Notamacropus eugenii: one gene and its partner. The protein of the gene in region 2 interacts with the protein of the main gene of each other region in a pairwise test. Links are inferred from orthologs where the notes say so. Each region holds a gene or a part of one and is shown on either strand. Other genes may lie near its edges.

What was found.
Region 1: the proteins of SETDB2 (region 2) and ARL14EP interact in binary tests that used the Homo sapiens proteins (3 or more experiments, as listed by UniProt). The two-hybrid records come from large-scale screens. The link is inferred for Notamacropus eugenii from reciprocal best matches to the Homo sapiens genes SETDB2 and ARL14EP.

The regions. Positions count from the first base shown.
Region 1 is NC_092877.1:21,033,705-21,042,424, forward strand, and holds the start of ARL14EP (ARL14 effector protein), read right to left. Parts: upstream 3,728-8,720; 5' UTR 3,577-3,727; exon of another isoform or gene 3,547-3,576; intron 3,056-3,546; exon of another isoform or gene 2,968-3,055; intron 2,687-2,967; exon of another isoform or gene 2,641-2,686; intron 2,389-2,640; exon of another isoform or gene 2,088-2,388; intron 1-2,087.
Region 2 is NC_092876.1:107,012,318-107,021,229, forward strand, and holds the start of SETDB2 (histone-lysine N-methyltransferase SETDB2), read right to left. Parts: upstream 4,025-8,912; 5' UTR 3,825-4,024; intron 1,704-3,824; 5' UTR 1,315-1,703; coding exon 1,299-1,314; intron 1-1,298. UniProt on the Homo sapiens protein: Histone methyltransferase involved in left-right axis specification in early development and mitosis. Specifically trimethylates 'Lys-9' of histone H3 (H3K9me3).

The DNA of each region.
Region 1 (8,720 bases), on a different chromosome or scaffold from region 2:
TTACAGCAAATCAATTTTTATCAACAATGGAACCAATCATTTGTATTCTATACTCTATGTACTAGTTAAGGAAATAAAAATGACACGAAGAAGCTCACTAGAGGTGAGGTGACAATTTAAAAAAGCACCCTATTATATAGTGGTGGCTGGCTGTCCAAGAGGAAAGTGGGGCTCTGCTATAGCTATATGGCTTAACCCCTTTGGTCATCTTGAACTCACTCAGACAGCAGGGTTGCCACCAGAACAGTTATGATTTTCATGTAGAACCTGAAACTGAATGACTATTATGGTCAAGTGATTTTAGTAGCGGAATACGACCAAAATAACGTCAGTCAGAGAAGCCATAAAGCCCTAAAGGGTAGCAAGTGAAATTGACCTGATATATAGCACCCTGACCACTCATCAATGAAAGTATTTTGTAGGCACGAATGCATGGTACCAGGAAAAGTTAGCTTGGGACGTAACAGAGACGACAAAGATGTGCCTAAAGATTCTTCAACTCTGGAGGAGTTTCCACATAGCTGGGAAGATGATTTTAAGTAGAAGTCACAGATATTTCTAAATGCGGAGGAAAAAAATCACTTCAACAATCCCATGTCATCACTGGATTTCAGTGTAATATTTGCTCAGAAGTAGGTATTTGTTGGATCCTTGGTGCAAAAGAAACAGACAATTCTCATGAACTGGATACCTCACCTCTAACATCTGGTCACACACTACAGCTGGAAAAGCCTTCCCAGAGCACATTACTCATGCTAAATGATTCTTGAGAATTTTTTCTTAGTTTACTCTAACTGCTGAGACTTTAGGGACAAAATTTCAATTTCCTTTGCCAATTACTTTAACCTTTGAGTAACTTCTGTGATTGGTTAACCACCTGTGTTTCTGTTCCCGTTTTGCTTAGTTTAAAGAATTTAAAAATGCCTTGTGGTTGGAGCAACAGAGAAAGTAAACAAACAAAAAACCCTAGGCTTGAGGAACCTTGTAAAGACCCACTTACTGGCTACAGAACTTGGGCAACTTGTTTCACTTAATTTTAATTTATAAAAAAATCAAGAGGCAGAATTATATGCCTTCTAAAATTTCAAACCTAAATCTGCCAGCCTTCTGCAGATTTATCACTGTAAATTTACCACCCTCATTTTCCTAAAAGGCATTAAAATATACAGACTTAACTGTAGTCTACAACAATCTCTTTAGAGCACTTCTGCACTATGGGAAGAAAATGTGCAAAAGTAGATACTTATTTTGGGAAAGATGAAAGACTCATTTTTAGAATCTGCTTATGAGTGCTACTATAAAATATCAGGGCCATTTTTCATGTTACTATGCAGAACCTTTTTTCCTTTTGCAAATATAATGATTTGGTGTTTCCCCCTGCAAATAAAGAAAAGGCTTTAAAAACGTTTAAAGGCACTCCAACATCACATGACTCCTTAATAGCAATGACCACATACATTAACTTGAATACTCCTCTGATTGCTGACATCACTCAGGGCATGGCAAAGAGCAAGATAAATGCTAACCAAGTGTCCTCCACTGTCATGAAGGATGTGATACCAGTACCAACCGGCAGGAGGATTCTTCTTTATTACCTTAATCAGAGAATGGTAGCAACTGGAAAGAACCAGATTGGGAACTCTTTGAGGCCTTTCTGCGTATTCCCAGCACTTAGCTCAGAGCCCTGCCTATCTCTACGGGGGCTTAATAAAGGTTTCCTAAATGAATGAACTCTATTACTCTTTGGCTCCACTACAGAGGCCCTCCCCACCCCTCCGAGACTATAAAAGGGTAAGATTTTGCAGAATTCCAATCTAAAGATACACTTAATTCTTATTTCACCGAGTCTCCTCAAAGACACAGATGTTCACTCAGAAGAGCATAATGATCCAGGCAGAGGACAAAAAGGGGTTGAACACTGCGTATCATGGTCATCTTTCTAACACTGGTGAGAGGTGATATCTAACAATCAAAGGAGAAAACTCCTTTTTCTGCCCCCCCAGGTTAGTCTGCATTTTCTCCTGGCCTATGTTTTGTGACGTAGGCGTGAGGGTAAAAGTAGCCGTTCTCCAACAGCGCCCGCTCACCTGTGGTCCCCATTTCTGTCCTCTAAGCTAAGGCGAATCTTCTGGTTGCGCTCCCCATTTCCCGTCTTTCTTTCTAATGCAGACATCCTGGGAACCCCTTTCTCACCAGTCTCTCACCCTCACCCTCAGTCTCGCTGGCGTTTCACTAAGGCACCGGCCTTCCATTCCGAATCCCTACACCGGGTCCTCCAACCCTTTCTTCTTCTTCACCCTCTCCGCCCAATGACGTAATCACCAACAGAAGACTGCGGCACCTCCACCCCCTCGGCTGCGGCGCCTGGCCCCGCCCACATCCCCCATATTATCAGACTCTCCATCTCCTAACCTGGGGGGGGACGGGACACACCCCACCCCAAACCCAAGCCCTCTCCGGCCGCCTCCCGCCCCCTGGGGAGCAGGAGCAAACACTGACGGCTCCATTCCCTCCGCCCCGCTCCCTACAGACACCCGCAGGGCTCCCATTAAAACTTCTCTTTCCTCGTTCACAATTCGGCTATTAAAAAAAACCCTCCCGACATTCCTGAATTAAGACCGGAGGCCAGATCGTCCTCACCTACGGATTACCCAAAAACCAAGGGCGAGGCTCCGAGCCGCAGTCTGGGGGGCGGGCCTTACCCGGGCCCCGCCCCTCCGCCTCTTTCTCCCGAGGCCCCGCCCCCGCCCCGCCCACTGCGGCACTCTGCAGCATGACCTCATTGCACCAAACCTTCGGCCACGCCCCCGGCTCGGCCATTTTGGTGCTTCCACCATCTTGCCCATTTTCTACTAACGTTCCAATTTCAGAACGCGTAGTTAAAATAAACCCGTTCTGAGGGTCCGCGGCCGCTCCCGACATCATGGGGGAGGGGGGCACGATGAGTTTGGGGGTACCGTTACACACCCCGCAGGGGGACGCCACGGCTCGGCTCCCCTCCCCCTCCGCCATCTTGGTGCGTCTTCTCCCGTGGGGGTGTGTGTGGCGTTTAATGGACCTATCGACCAAGACGCCCCCCAAAAACCTTGAGCTAAAAGTGGCCCAACACAGCGGGGCCCGCCGTTAAGAGTCCGACGGGTGTGGCGCTGCAGAGTAAACAAAGGGCGCCCCCCCCATTCGCCAGGCGTGCGAGCCTGGGGGCCATCTTGTAACCAAGCCTCCCCGTTTTACAGGCGGGAGCACCGTGGGGCCCAGGCACCGAGGAGGATCCGAACCCAAGCCCCCCCGGCCCCCGGTTCGCCCGAGCTGGTCGCGGGCGTGTCCCCGACTGCAGAGCCGGAGGCTCCTCCGCACTGCGGAAAGGTGGGGCAGGGGCGCAAGGACACACCCGAGGGCCCTCGGGAGCGAGGACGCGGCGGGACCTGGATGCGAGCCCGGGGCCGCGGGCTTCCCAATTCTCTCCCCACCCCTCGCCCCAGCCCGAGGCGGCTCCCGGCCCTCCTAGGCCTGAGACCCGCCCTCGTGGTCGGGCCCCGAAGCCCTCACCGCTCTTCTGCCTCGGCTTCCGTCCAGTACCTTGCCCGGCGCCCGTCCCGGCTCCTGCCGCGCCGTCCCCCGCACCTCAGCCCCCGGGCCCGCCGCAGCCATGAAACAACTGCTCCGCACGTAGCAACCAGCAACACGACCAGCTCGCACCGCCCACCGCTATCGAGAAGACGTCGCGCGCTCGCTAGAGCGGCTCTTCTAGAGGGACGTCGCCAACGTGACCAGCGAGAGGGCGCGGGGGGCGTGGCGTGGCGTGGCTAGAGCGGCCGCGGCGCGGCCGCCATCTTGGGAAGGTCAGGAGGACCCAGGAGGCCCGCGGGTGGGGGTGGGGACCAGGCCCGATCTGCGGGCGAGGCGGGCGCAGGCCGGAGAAGTGGCGCGGGCCCGATCTCCCCGGGAGCTCTGCCCCTCAGTGGTCCGAGGCCCGGGGGCCTCATCCTGCAGTCAGGATCCTCACTCGTTCGTTCATTCCTTCCTTTACTCACAGATTCACTCATTCAAGCATTTCCTTCCTCCTCCCTCCCTCCCTTCCTCCCTCCCTTCCTCCCTTCCTCCCTCCCTCCCTTCCTCCCTTCCTCCCTTCCTCCCTCCCTCCCTCTCTTCCTCCCTCCCTCCCTCCCTCTCTCCCTCTTTCCCTTCCTCTCTCCCTCGTTCCTTTCCTTCTCTCCCTTCTTCTTTTTCTTCCCTCACTTCCTCCCTCCCTCTCTCCCTTCCTCCCTCCCTCCCTCTCTCTCTCCTTCCCTCCCTCTCTCCCTCCCTTCCTCTCTTCCTCTTTCCCTTCCTCTCTCCCTTCCTCCTTTCCTTCCCTCCCTTCCTCCCTCCCTCCCTCTCTCCCTCCCTTCCTCTCTTCCTCTTTCCCTTCCTCTCTCCCTTCCTCCCTCCCTCCCTCCCTCCCTTCCTCCTTTCCTTCCCTCCCTTCCTCCCTCCCTTCCTCTCTCCCTCCTTCCCTTCCTCTCTCCCTCCTTCCCTTCCTCTCTCCCTCCTTCCCTTCCTCTCTCCCTCCCTCCTTCCCTTCCTCTCTCCCTTCTTCCTTTCCTCTCTCCCTCCTTCCTTTCCCTCCCTCCCTCCCTTCCTCTCTCCCTCATTCGTTTCCTTCTCTCTCTCCCTCCCTCCCTCCCTCTCTCCCTCCCTTCCTCTCTTCCTCCTTCTCTTCCTTCCCTTTTCCTCTCTTGCTGTACCTCCCTTCTCTGAATCTGATAGGTTCCCACCCTTCTTTAAAAGGCCAAGTCCACATGTGTGAACTCTGTCATGAATGGGCCTTTCAGGCAGAGAGCCTCACTTTCCTCCTCAACAAAGGCCAATTGACTAAATCAGGGGAGACCCAGGTCTTCAGTTCTTACCTTGCACAAGGAGTCCACACCTTTTTGGGCAGGTGACTGAGGGGAGAGAAGGTATTGGTCATCCCTTTACTCTTCTGAGCGCATGGATGCCCTGCAAACACTCATAAAAAGAGCTGATGACAACACTGCTTGTTCCAGGCTACCACAGAAGGAAGAGATTAACCACAGGCTAGGCTCCCATTTCAAGGAAAGTGCTGCGTAGATGTGGGACTTTAACTGAATCCTGAAGAAAGTGAAAGTGGAGAGGAGAAGGGAAGGCTTCATGAGCTATTGGGACATTGTGTTTCTGAGCGATGAATTGTTCAAAATTCCCTTGTAATTTTATGAATTTTATGCAATAAAAATATTTTAAGGAATTCATAGTTTTTACTAGACACATGGTGTTGGTTATATAACTAAACATGAATATTCTATTTTGAAAAAATGGCCAGATTTGAACTGAGGTCCTCCTAACTCCAGAGACAGTACTCTATCCACTGAGTCACCTAGCTACCTCTGAACTTTTAAAAGATTTGAGAATACTTTTATGTTGCTTTCCCTGGGCAGAATTGCTAGTCATGGCTGTGCTGGTTATAGATTCAGTCAGTCAACAAGTATTTATTAAGTACCTACTCTGTGTTAGGCACTATATTAAGTAAGGGGGATACAAAGATAGGAAAAAGACAGTTCCTACCCTTGAGGAGCTCACAGTCTAATGGGGGAGAAAACAAATAGGTATGTACAAACAAGATGCACAGACACACACACACACACTCACATTCACATACCCACACGATAATTGGGAAATAATCAACAGGAAAGGTACTACAATTAAGAGTCCCTGAAAGGCTTCCTGTAAGAGGCGGAATTTTAGACTGGGATTTGAAGGAAGCCAGGAAAGTCAGAAGACAGGTGAGGAGTGAGAGAATTCAAGACATGGGAGACAGCCAGAGAAAATGCCCAACAGAGGATTTTATATTTGATCCTGATGGTGATAGGAAGCTGCTGGAGTATGTTGAGTAGGGAGGTGACATTTTCCAACCTGCACTTTAGGAAGGTCAGTTTGGTAAGCTGACAGGAGGAAGGGCAAAAGTGGGAAGAGACTTGAGGCAGAGAGGCCAACCAAAGGTTACAGTAATAGTCCAGATGTGAGGTGCTGAGGGCCTTTACTAGGGTGATGGTAGTGTCAGAGGAGAAAAGAGGCATATACAAAAGATGATGAAGTTGACGAGACTTGACAACAATTGGATATAGAGGGGTGAGAGAGAGTGAGATGATACCCAAACTGTAAGACTGGGTGAGTTGTGAGCTTGGATGACTAGGAAGATGGTCCAGCAGAGATGTCCAATATCTGGCGCCATGTTGGGACTGAACCAGATTAAAATGTAGTTCTTATTCTATTTTAATGTATTCATAAAAAAGAAATACAAAATTGTGTGGTTTTTCTAAGTCAATATTCAACCTGTAAGGATCCTTATGTATGGTTTAGGGGTCTGCATTTCTATTTTTGAGTTTGACGCTATTGCTTACAGTAATAGGGAAGTTTGGAACAGGGGAGGAGTTGAACATGAGTTCAGTTTTGGATATTTTGTGTTTAAGATATCTGTAGGAATCTAACTTCAAGCTGTCCAATAGGCAGTTGGAGATGTAAGTCTGGAGCTCAGCAGAGAGGTTAGAGATGGATAAGTAGATTTGAGAATCATTCACACAGAAATGATCATTGAATCCATGGGAACTGATGACATCACCAAGTGAGCTAATACACAGAGAGAAGAGAAGAGGGTCCTGGACAGAGTCCCTGGGACATATAAAATAATGGGTGTAGCCTGGATGAAAATCTAGCAAAGGAAACTGAGGAGTTGTCTTGTTGGGAGGAGGGTTACTAGGGTGGAGTAGTGACAGAGAAACCTCGATGGAAGAGAGCAGTATCAAGGAGATAAGGGTGACTGTCCAAGGTCCTGAGAGTTCCAAAGAAATAAAGATTAAAAAAGGCCTTAGTTTCTTCATCTTTAAAATGAAGTAATCTCTGAGAGCTACTTCACAGAATCGTGGTGAGGCGAAAATGAGATAAACCACTTTGTAAATTTTAAAGGGCTATATTAAGGTCCATTGTGACTTTAAGATTATGTGAATTTACTATGATTTTGAGTCCATGCTTTTATTACTACTTATTTTATTACTACTTAGGTCAAAAACTTAAACAGCAGGGCAAATGAGCCTTAGAGAAACAACAAAGGATATAATCAATCCAGTCGCCTCAATTTTCCCTCATATACTCATAGAAAGATGAGATTCTATCTTCAGCTCTAGTGTTTTTGCCTTTCCTGTTCCTTCTGTCACAGTATAGCATCTCTGTCATTTTCCATGGGTTTTCTCTGCTCCCCTCTTGCCCCCTCCCCATTATGATAGTCTGGGCATTCTAATGGGAGAGGTGCAATTAAATAGAAGGTCCCACCAAGTACACAACTTTGAGGGGATATTGCTTCAGGGCTGAGGTGCAGTGTTGCTTGAGAACCACCAGAGGGAGAACAGAGCATGGTTTTTTGTCAAGTCTTCTTCATGTTCTGTCACTCCTTTTTCATGAGATTTTCATTGTTGTTCAATCATGTCTAACTCTTTGTGATCCCATTTGGGGTTTTCTTGGCAAAGATACTGGGGTACTGGAGTGATATGCCATTTCATTCTTCAGCTCATTTTTACAGATGAGGAAACTGAGCAAAAAGGGTTAAGTGACTTGCCCAGGATCACACAACTAGGAAGAGTCTGAGGCCAAATTTGAACTCAGGAGGATGAGTGGTTCCAGGTGTGGCACTCTATCCAATGAGCCACTAGCTGCTCTTCAGCACACACTTACAAAGTGCCTTTTATGAACCAGGAACTATGCTATGTGCTGAGGTTACAAATCAAAAGTGAGACTTATCCTGTCCTTGGGGATCTTGAATTCTACTAATACTATTTACTATATAAGGAGTCTTTACTATTATCTGTAGTATCTAAGCTATTCACTCAACTGGATTCAATTCAACATTTATTAAGCAACAATCACATTTGTAGAAGTAGTAGGTCTAGGGATAATTACAGTCTCTACTGGTCCAGATGGAAAGTCTTCTCTGCCTCCTCATTTTGTACTTTTTGTGCTTTCATCCATTTAAAAACAATAGTGCCAATGATCACAACAATTCCATAGAACATTCATGTGGTAGAACACTGGACTTGGAGTCAGGAAGACTTGAGTTCAAAACCTACTTCAGACAATTAACGGTCGAATGATCTTGGGTTGAGTGATCTTGATCACTTACCTCATCTGTAATACAAAGGGATTAGGCTAGGGTCTACTCTAAGGTCCTTTCCAGACATAAGTCTGATCCTAAGGCCTTCCAGGTATACCAGTAGCCTTGCTCTGAGTCTTTTAATATTTTGTGGATGGCAATGAAAAAGTTGGACCTGTAATGAGTCACATGATTAGCCACCTTCTTTTTCTGGTCATCCTTATGCTCTTCTTGGAGTCCCTCCCTCTCTTCAAAGCTCGGCTCAAATTCAATTAATCAACAAACACTTATTAAATACCTAACATGTGCTAGGCATTATGCTAATTGCTGGGATGTGAAATTAAAAATGAGATAGTCCCATCCTGCCCTCAAGGAATTTACATTGTATATTCCAGGTTTTTCCTGATTCTCTCCCTTGTTACTGCTCTCAACACCATCACTGCGGAGTTTCTTATACATATGTATGAATATGTTACATCTCTTCCCAGTAGAGTATAAATCAGGGACTAGTTTTACTTCTACATTTATATTCACACACTCTCTCTAATGCAGTACTTAGAACATAGTAGGTGCTTAATAAATGCTT
Region 2 (8,912 bases):
TCTGCAGAGTTCAGGGTAACCCAGATTACTAAGGAGAAAACTAGCTAGAGGTCCAGATGGAGATGGCTTCCTCTTACCCAGATGCCCGGAGCGGGCTGAGTCTCATGATCAAGCCCTGTTCTTATGAGGAAGAACTGAAGACTTTTGGTCCACCTGCTTATTAAATGTCCCCCAATCAGGACGGAGTTTCACTTCTCAGGAGAGTTCCTTTTCAGAAGTGATTTAAAACATTTCTGGGTTTCCCTTCATATCCCTCTTCATCTGGCGACATTCTACTTTTCCAGGTCTATTATACATTCTCCCCTTTTACATATTCTGTTATCCAGCTAAACTGGCCTACTTGCCATTACTTGAAACATTCTGAAACATTCCATCTCCTGTCTTCATGTTTTCATACATTGTTTTGCTCCATGCCCTCATTCCTCATGGCCAGTTCAAGAATCCCTAGCTTCTGTCAAAGTTCAGCTCAAGTACCACCCCCTATCCTGATTCCCCAGTTGCAAGGTCTCCCCTCCCCCATTTTCTTCTCTGTATCTTTATGTTCACGTTGTTTTCCCTGATACAATGTAAGCTCCCTGGAGTCAAGGATTATTTCTTTTTTGTCTTTGTATTCCTAGCACAGGGATTAGAAAATGGTAAGCACCAAACAGTATTTGTTTATTGACTGATTAAAGTAAGTAGTATGAGGGTTTTATATAGTACATTTATATAGAGGCATTTTATACAGTCCCTAATAGGTGTCAGGTATTCTGCTAAGCACTTTATAGACATTATAATAAGGATAGTAATAATAATGATAGCTAGCATTTATTAAGTGCTTATGCTGTGCTGGACTGTGCTAAGCACTTTACAAGTATCTCCTTTGATCCTCACTACAACCCTGGGAGGTAGGTGATCTTATTATCACTATTTACAGGTGGGGAAACTAAGGCAGAAAGAGGTTAAGGGATTTGTCCAGGGTCACACAGCTAGAAGTGTTTGAGGCTAAATTTGAATTCAGGTCTTCCTCACTCTGATTACTTAAAAGTGTTCAAAAAAAAAAAAAAAGCGTTTGTTAAGCGTGCTTAAAAGCCATCTAATTTAGAATGGTCATTCTCAGCCAAGAAAGACTGCATGCCTGGCACACTGTAAGCACTTAAATTTATGTTTGTTGTATCATTTTCTATCATACTGTATTTTAACTAGTGGTACCAAGCCATTAAGAAGGTTGGCGGTAGAAGTTCCACAAGCTGAAATCACGTATACTTCCAAAAGCATTCTAAAAGCTTTTTCTAAGTTAATCATTTTGTTCAACTTACCATTTCTTTCTTCCATCTTCTGCAGCAGCTGTTGAAGTATGTGAACCTCTTCAGGATGAGATTTATAGGGACATCAGAGGAAACACTGATTATAATTTGAAAACATAACTAGCATCCAACTTTGGCTCCTATATTCCCTCCTCCAAGGCACTGGCAGTCATTAGACAACATTTCTCTCTCATTTTTCCTATTCTGGATCCAATGCCTTTTGATAAGCTTAGTCTGGTTAATTTTCAGACTGGAAATCATGATAAAAGGAACTATCAGAGGTGATTAATATTCAAATTCCATGTTGACTTCAAGTTATACTTCCAAGTCTTGATCCAAAAGTAGGCAAATTAAATAGGAACTTTCTTCATGATAAAAACATTTTCATTCTTTGCATCCATGAATCAGTAAAACACTCTATATGGAAAACAAGGAAAAAGAGTACACATCTGAAAAATGCAGAGTTGATAAATCATTTTTAAAGGGTATAATAAAAGTCACAGAATCACAGTACAGTTGGAATTCCTACAATGTTTTCAATTGGGTTATTCATACCTGAAACTACTGAACTATAATTTGTACACAAAAAATTTTCTCCCAGTGACTTTGCATATACAGGATACAGTAATTAAACAGGTTGGTTTCAACTGAATCTGTAGTTGGTTTCATTTCCTTTTTTAAAAGGAGAACACATTTAAATGAGTAAATACATAGTTATTTGATCACAGAATGTTTAAGATAAAATATATATAAATCAAGTCTTTTTCATTGAAATCTACAATAAACCAAAGGATATTAGATGTTCTAGGGATATTTAGAGATGGTTTGCTTCAATTCCAAATGAGGAATACTCATGGCACCCTCAACTGCATGGCTAATTTTTCTTTCTAAAGAAATCAGCGTCAGTTTTAACACAGCTTCCTAAATTAATTTTTCTAATCTTTACATATTCATTTTTTGCCATCTTATTTAATGTTCAAAGATGACTTTTCAACTTCAAAAATATTAAAGGGAATTTCTGCACCCAAAATGCAAGGCGTACTTAAGTTTTGACATCTAAGAATTGGCATGTTACTTATAGTGGTTAGTGTATCCAATTTGGAATCAGGAGAACTGAGTTAAAAGTCTATCTAAATACTAAGTAGCTATGTTACTGCAGAGAAGTTGTTAGACTTCTCAAAGTTCCAGTTCCATCTCAAAGATGAGTAAGGATACTTTCGATAACTATATTACAGGTTTTGTCCAAAGGACAACACTATAAGGCACTATGAAAATGAACATTATTATTTAACCTGTAGTTTCAGGTCAACTAAAAAAATGCAATTCTTTTATAAAATATAATTAAGGGCCAAAACAATCTTATTTAAATTTCTGATGGGCTTCCAACTTGCAGCCCCACAACTTTCTTAAATTCAAACTTTTTTTTTCAATACCAAAGCCGTTAAATAACCGAGCACAACTGTCATCTCCCCTTCAAGAAATAATATCTGGCAATTTTCTGATCAGGTCCCCATTGCCATACTTAGTGGCAGAAACATACCTATAAGAAAAAGCAATGTTACTAGGTTTTACTAGAGGGTCATTCTTTCCATAAGTAAGAGAAAACTGCTATTTCTTTTATTTACTATGTTAAACCGAAAGGTTTGAAGAACATGTCAAAGGACCAAGCACATTTTTTCTTTTTATACAAGAACTGGTGACACCTTTTTACCACTGTCATTCCTTTTACCACTATTGGGGCATATAGATCGAGTTATCTCCCTTTCCTAGGGGCTCCTACTCCTTAGAAGGCTGCTTCCCTATGGCAGCAGTTAAAAGGGAAATGTATTATTTTTGCTTCAAAGCTTTCCTTTTGGGGGAAGTGAAGAAAGACTACAGGGGTCAAGGCCTGCAAACGACCCCTCGACAAGTTTGGTGTAAAGACACTTTGGTCTGGGTTGCAGCCTTGGCTTGGACGGCTCCCGGACCCCAGCGCTTCCTTGGTTCCAACAAGCCCAAGGCTGCGTTTCCATGCCCCTGGGGCCCGGAGCGGGGAGCAGGGCTTCAGTCGAACGAGGCGCAGTCTCCCGCCACACGTGGGCTCAATTCAGACAGGGGGAGGCGGGGGAGAAGGGGGTCAGGGAGAACCCCGCGCCCCTGCAGCGGCCGGCGCGGGGACTGGGCACTCCCGGTTGAACGCTCCCACGAGAGAACCCGTTTGGCCCACATCCCCGCGAGTCGGCCGGCCGGATCCGGGCTTCCCCCGGGCTGGCCCAGGCCGGTCTCTCCCTGCCTCCTCCGGTAACAGCCGCAAGCGGCGTGACCCCGTGGGAGAGCAGCGCGGGAGGAAAGACGACGCCGCAATTCCGGAACGGAGAAGTCTTTCCGCCGCCGGGTCGATCAAGGTGTCTAATCTGGCCACCTCCTTCCGACCTGCGGCCTGGCTCCCTGCCCATCCGCGGGGCGCCGGGCGTAGCCCCCACCACCCTCCGGCACACCTCCACCGGGAGGATTCCTCGGCCTTTTTTTTTTTTTTTCAAATTCCCGTCGGATACCTACAATCGCTAGATTCCCGCCTCACCGGGAACGGAACACGCGCTTCCGAGCATCCCCGGGCATCCCTAAGGCTAAAGCCGAAATGGGCGGAGTCTGGGTCTCCCATCCGGCGCCTCCAAGAGAAGCGGCCATTGGTTGCTCTTCCGTTTGCCACACCCCTCGACTGGTTACGTACGGGCTTCCGAAGCCCGCGGAAGGCTTCTGTCATGCTCCGGCCCGGTTCCCAAGTGTACGCTCGCTCCCCGGCGCCTGATTGGTTATGTCCAGTCTCGGATTGTCTCGCGCTCCGGGGTTAAGCCAATAGAATCAACCGCAGTCGGGGAGCCGGCATCCTTGCAGCCGTGGCGCCGCGGTTCCCTCCGGTAGGTGTGTGGCTGCCATCTTGTGTGTGGCATTGCCCCGGGTGCAAGGGGGTGGGGTGCTCGGGAGTTGGGGCCGGCGGAGGAAAGGTCTCCTCCAGGACCGTCCTCTTTTTCCTGTTGGAAGGGTGAACAACTCCGTTACCCCGAGTTTCTCATCGTAGGAGGGAGAAAAGAGAGAAAGCGAGGGAGTTGTGGCCGTGATGGAGAGCCACCACTAGTGTTCAGTTTGTTTTTGTTTTGGGGGGGAGGGGGGCGGGGTGGATCTCCGCATCTGTGGGCCCTGACCTTGACCCAGCTAATGGGCATCCCTATCCGGGATACGCTTACACAGTCTACGGGCCGGCCTGCCTCTCGTTGGCCTTCCCCTTCCCGTCGTCATGGTAATAGGGAAGTGGAATGAGGGAGACTTTCTTTGCTTGCCTCGTCATTTCTGAGAACGCTAGAATTGCTTTTGACCGTGATCTTGCGTGGCATCGTCGTAAATGGGTGCTGGGTTCTGACCTCAAATTGTATCTTAATCAGTTGCCTTCCTTAAGATACGGTCCTCACATGCCCTCCAGCCTCCAGTCACCAAACTGCCCTTTGCTCCTTCCTGGGGGATCAGTGTCCAGGAGATCGGGATGTTTTGAGTCAAAAACCTCCTTTGATCTGCCCTCGTAGCTGCCCTGCTGAGGAAGAATTAATGCAACGTGGGCTTGGACTTCTGGATAATTTGTGTACAGTGACAAGGAATGTGTTAGGCTTAGGTTTTAATGTCATTTGACTTTTTAAGCTCTAAGGTGTTCTCTTTTTTTTCCTGAGAAACCTCCCATACTTCTGAGCTCTTTTCCCCAAACACCATTAAAAAATTATAAGGTGGATTTGTATCAGGGACACACATGTATAAATATAACTCTGAAGTCAGGGGATCTGACAACTAGGCTATTGAAAGTCTTCACTGTGCCGTTCTTAGTTTTGGCATCCGGGTGGAGGAGATGAAGATAACTATCTTATTGCACTGAGTTCAGTTTTCAATTATTCAGGGTTAGTCAGTGATCCAGCTGTATGATGGTTTTTGGTGACAAGGACATCAAAGGAATCAAACAGCTGTAATAATAATGAAGAAAATTATAAATTCCATCCTGTGGGTTAAAGGACTTTAGTTTCAAGAAGTCTTTGTTCCCATTCGAATAATATGCAGGAATGCAATGATGAATTTGGGGAGGATTGAGAGGAAAATTAGTTTATATGCAGTGTTTTATAAGTAGTGGATATTGCTGAGTAACAGGATACTAGAGTGCAGTTCTCTAAGTTGTAGATATAACTTTTAACTGAAAATACAGTGCTTTTCATTAATTTCTCACCTATTGAAATTGTGACCACTTGAATGTATTTGCTTATGTTGCATTCAGATAAATCAAGTAGATTCCACAGTCAGTTGTGCATTTGAATGATTGTTTTATTAGTAAAATTGATACCACTTAAGGTGCTATCTAGGATTTTACTTTGCTTTGTGAATTACCTACCTCACTTCTTTCCCAGAGTATACCCCCCTCTACCCCAGCAAACTTTAAACTTTAGTACTACTTGAAAAATCTGTAAGCCAGTACTTTTATGAGTGCCTTATTTAAACTTCTTGAAAATTCTAGTCACAGCCCTGCCACTAGCTTCTCTGCACCAAATCACCTTTTGGGACTTGTTTCCTAGTATGTAAAATGATTTAAATTACTATGAGCGCTGAGATCCCTTAGAGTAATATAGTACATACTTTGGAGCCACTGTCTTAACCCATCACTGGAATTAGCAAGAGAGAGGGCATAAGGGTTATCTTTGTAATTCTATAAGTTAATCAGCTCCCAATAGTATCTTTACTTCTTTACTTCTGTGATGAGCCATTGATATTGAATAGTCAGCCAGATGTAATTAGCTATTAGAAACAGGTATTTACTAGAGTGGTATATCTGGTACAGTTTTTACAAAATATCCCCCCACCAAATCTTTGACACACTTTCAGACCACCATTACATACAGAGTCTAAGGCAGGGGTGGGGAACTGCAGCCTCCAGACCACTTGTGGCTTTCTAGGTTCCTCAAATTTGATTCTTTGACTGAATCCAGACTTATTTGAAAGTCCACACCCAAGGACCTAGGTGGCCACAAGTAGTCTGAAGGCCACAGGTTTGCTACCTCTGATCTAGGGGAAGATGAGCTCAGCCTTAGAACACACATGTGGCAAAGGGGTAACCCACATATCCTGGAAGTTCATTTGCTAGAGTCCTCAAGATATCCCCGTTAAGTTTGGTATAGCTTTTCTGTTGGGCTCTTTGTAGAAGCTGGAGTTTGCCTTTCCTCCTCTTGTCTTTGACTCCCAGTGTATATAACTGATGTCAGCTCTTGCTATCCTGGGGATGTGCTAGCATTAGTTGAAAAGTCCAAAATCTATGCCTTTCTAAAGTCCACAGCATCCTCCTCAAGTCACAAGCAGGCAGGAGGAGACCGAAGCATTTGCTTCTAAGGAGCATGATCAAATCCCTCAACCAGTCAGAATGACTTGTCATACCTTAAGAAATATCCAGGCCTCGTTTATACCTAGTGAATTAACAAGATATTTTCTTACCTAGTTATGGATTCCAGGCATAGTATCCTGTTACTTACTTTTAGTGGGGTGAGAGTATTGTCTAGGTCAACTCCTGTCCTTATCCAGTTATGATATTCCATGATTCTTTGCCTTGAGTCTGTTTTTTTTATAGCTCTTTTGTTAATACAACCTAAAGGCAAATGAGGGCAGCTAGGTGGTACAGTGGATAAGAAGACTCTGGCCTCAAATAGCTGTGTGACCTAGGCCAAGTCACTTAACCCTGTTTGCCTCAGTTTCCTCATCTATAAAATGAGCTGGGAAGGAAATAGCAAACCACTCCAGTATCTTTGAGAAAATCTCAGATGGGGTCACAAAGAGTCAGACATAACTAAAAATGACTGAACAGTAATAACAAAGGCAAAGGATTGTAACTACTATAACATACAAATAAGTTTATTTCACTGATTTTCATTTTTATTAGTTAAATACAAGTATTTTAAAAATCATTATATGAATGTTTATTACTTTAAAGAACACATCTTAATTTGGTAACTATGGATACCTACCATGCTACCTTTCTTACATAAAACTATATGATCAATAAACGCTTAAGCTGAAAATGAATTATGAATATAGATAATGTGGTTCATTTGTATTTTGTCCAAGTAAGATTTTATATTTATTTTTTATATCAATCAGCAAAGTGAATTACAACACAGTATAAATTTTTAAAAATTTGTTTTATAAATTATTCTTTTATTATTGCTTCTCTCTCTATCCCTAAAGGAAAAGATTCTTAGTCTCCTGCTTAGAAACATCATGGTTTTCCACAAGTTCAGAAAAATGTTCTCATACGTATAGTGAAGTATTTTCTCATGAACTTAAGTAATTAAACCTAAAAGAGTTGCATTAAAAAAAGGTAGATGAAATATTAGCGAAAGAAAGGGAATAAGCATTTATTAAGTTCCTGCTATGTGCCAGGCACTATTAAGTGCTTTACAAATATTATTTCATTTGATCTGCACAACTCCGTGAGGTTGATTCTATTGTTATTCCCATTTTATAGGAATGATGAAACTGAGGCAGGCAGGTGAATTAACTTGCCCAGAGTCACACAGCTAGTAAGTGTCTGAATCTGGATTTGAATCTAGATCTTCCTGACTCCAGACTAAGTGCTTTATCCACTGGGCCACCTAGCTGGCTAGAACAAAATAGAGGAAATTACCTCTATTTCCATGTGGAGAAAAAAAAAATGCCATATTTTTAAATTGTTACCCATTTGTTAAATCATATGTAATATATGTATACATATGTTTATGATTTTTCTTTTTAGAAAGGAAAATATTGCTAGCATTAGAATTTTCTCATATTGCACAGTGAGGTTTCACTGTTTTAAACAATTGGGATGATTGTGTTTCATAAGACAAATTCATGTCAATTTATCCATTTACACTGTTAATTACTCCAGAGTAGCACTGACCTTAGATTAGATGGAATAACTTTTTTTTTTATGTTAGATGTGTGATTTTATTGATATAAGGACCTAACTTCCCCTTAAAGAAACCACTTTGCTAGTACAGATCTGTAATTGTCCTACAACTTACTTATGCTAATTAAGGATCTTTAAATCTTTACCTAAATGTTTATAAAGTCAGGCCTAGCAGCACTCCTGCTCTCCCTTCCCTCCCCTCAAGTCATCATCACAGGCAGCAAGCAGTCCTTAGCAAGAAAGGGCCACTAACACTACCACTGAAGACTGATCATCTGCCCTGCAAAGGCCAGGTATATACCCAAAAGCCCCAAGAAAAGGAGCCTTCTTTAGGCTGTTAGTGCTATTTCTAACCAGGTCTTTCCCAGCTTTGGGGGAGAAGCCATTGGAAGGCAGGAGAGCAACTTTCTGTAAAGGTACTTCAATTCCCTCTTTCTCAAGAGCTGTAACTACTAAAACCCAGAAAAAATTCCTCCACCTCAGTTTTTGGTACAGTCATATGACTCAGCATCAAAAAGGGCTATGATTTTATTGAAGAAAATGACACTAAAGAGATGGATTACCCTCTTCTCTGTCTCCATAAATCAGCCCTTCTTAAACGATGGGTTTCTATCCCATATGGGGGTCGTGTAACTGAATGTGTGTCATTCAAAAATCTGGCAACAGTAAAAGCTTTCTGAACT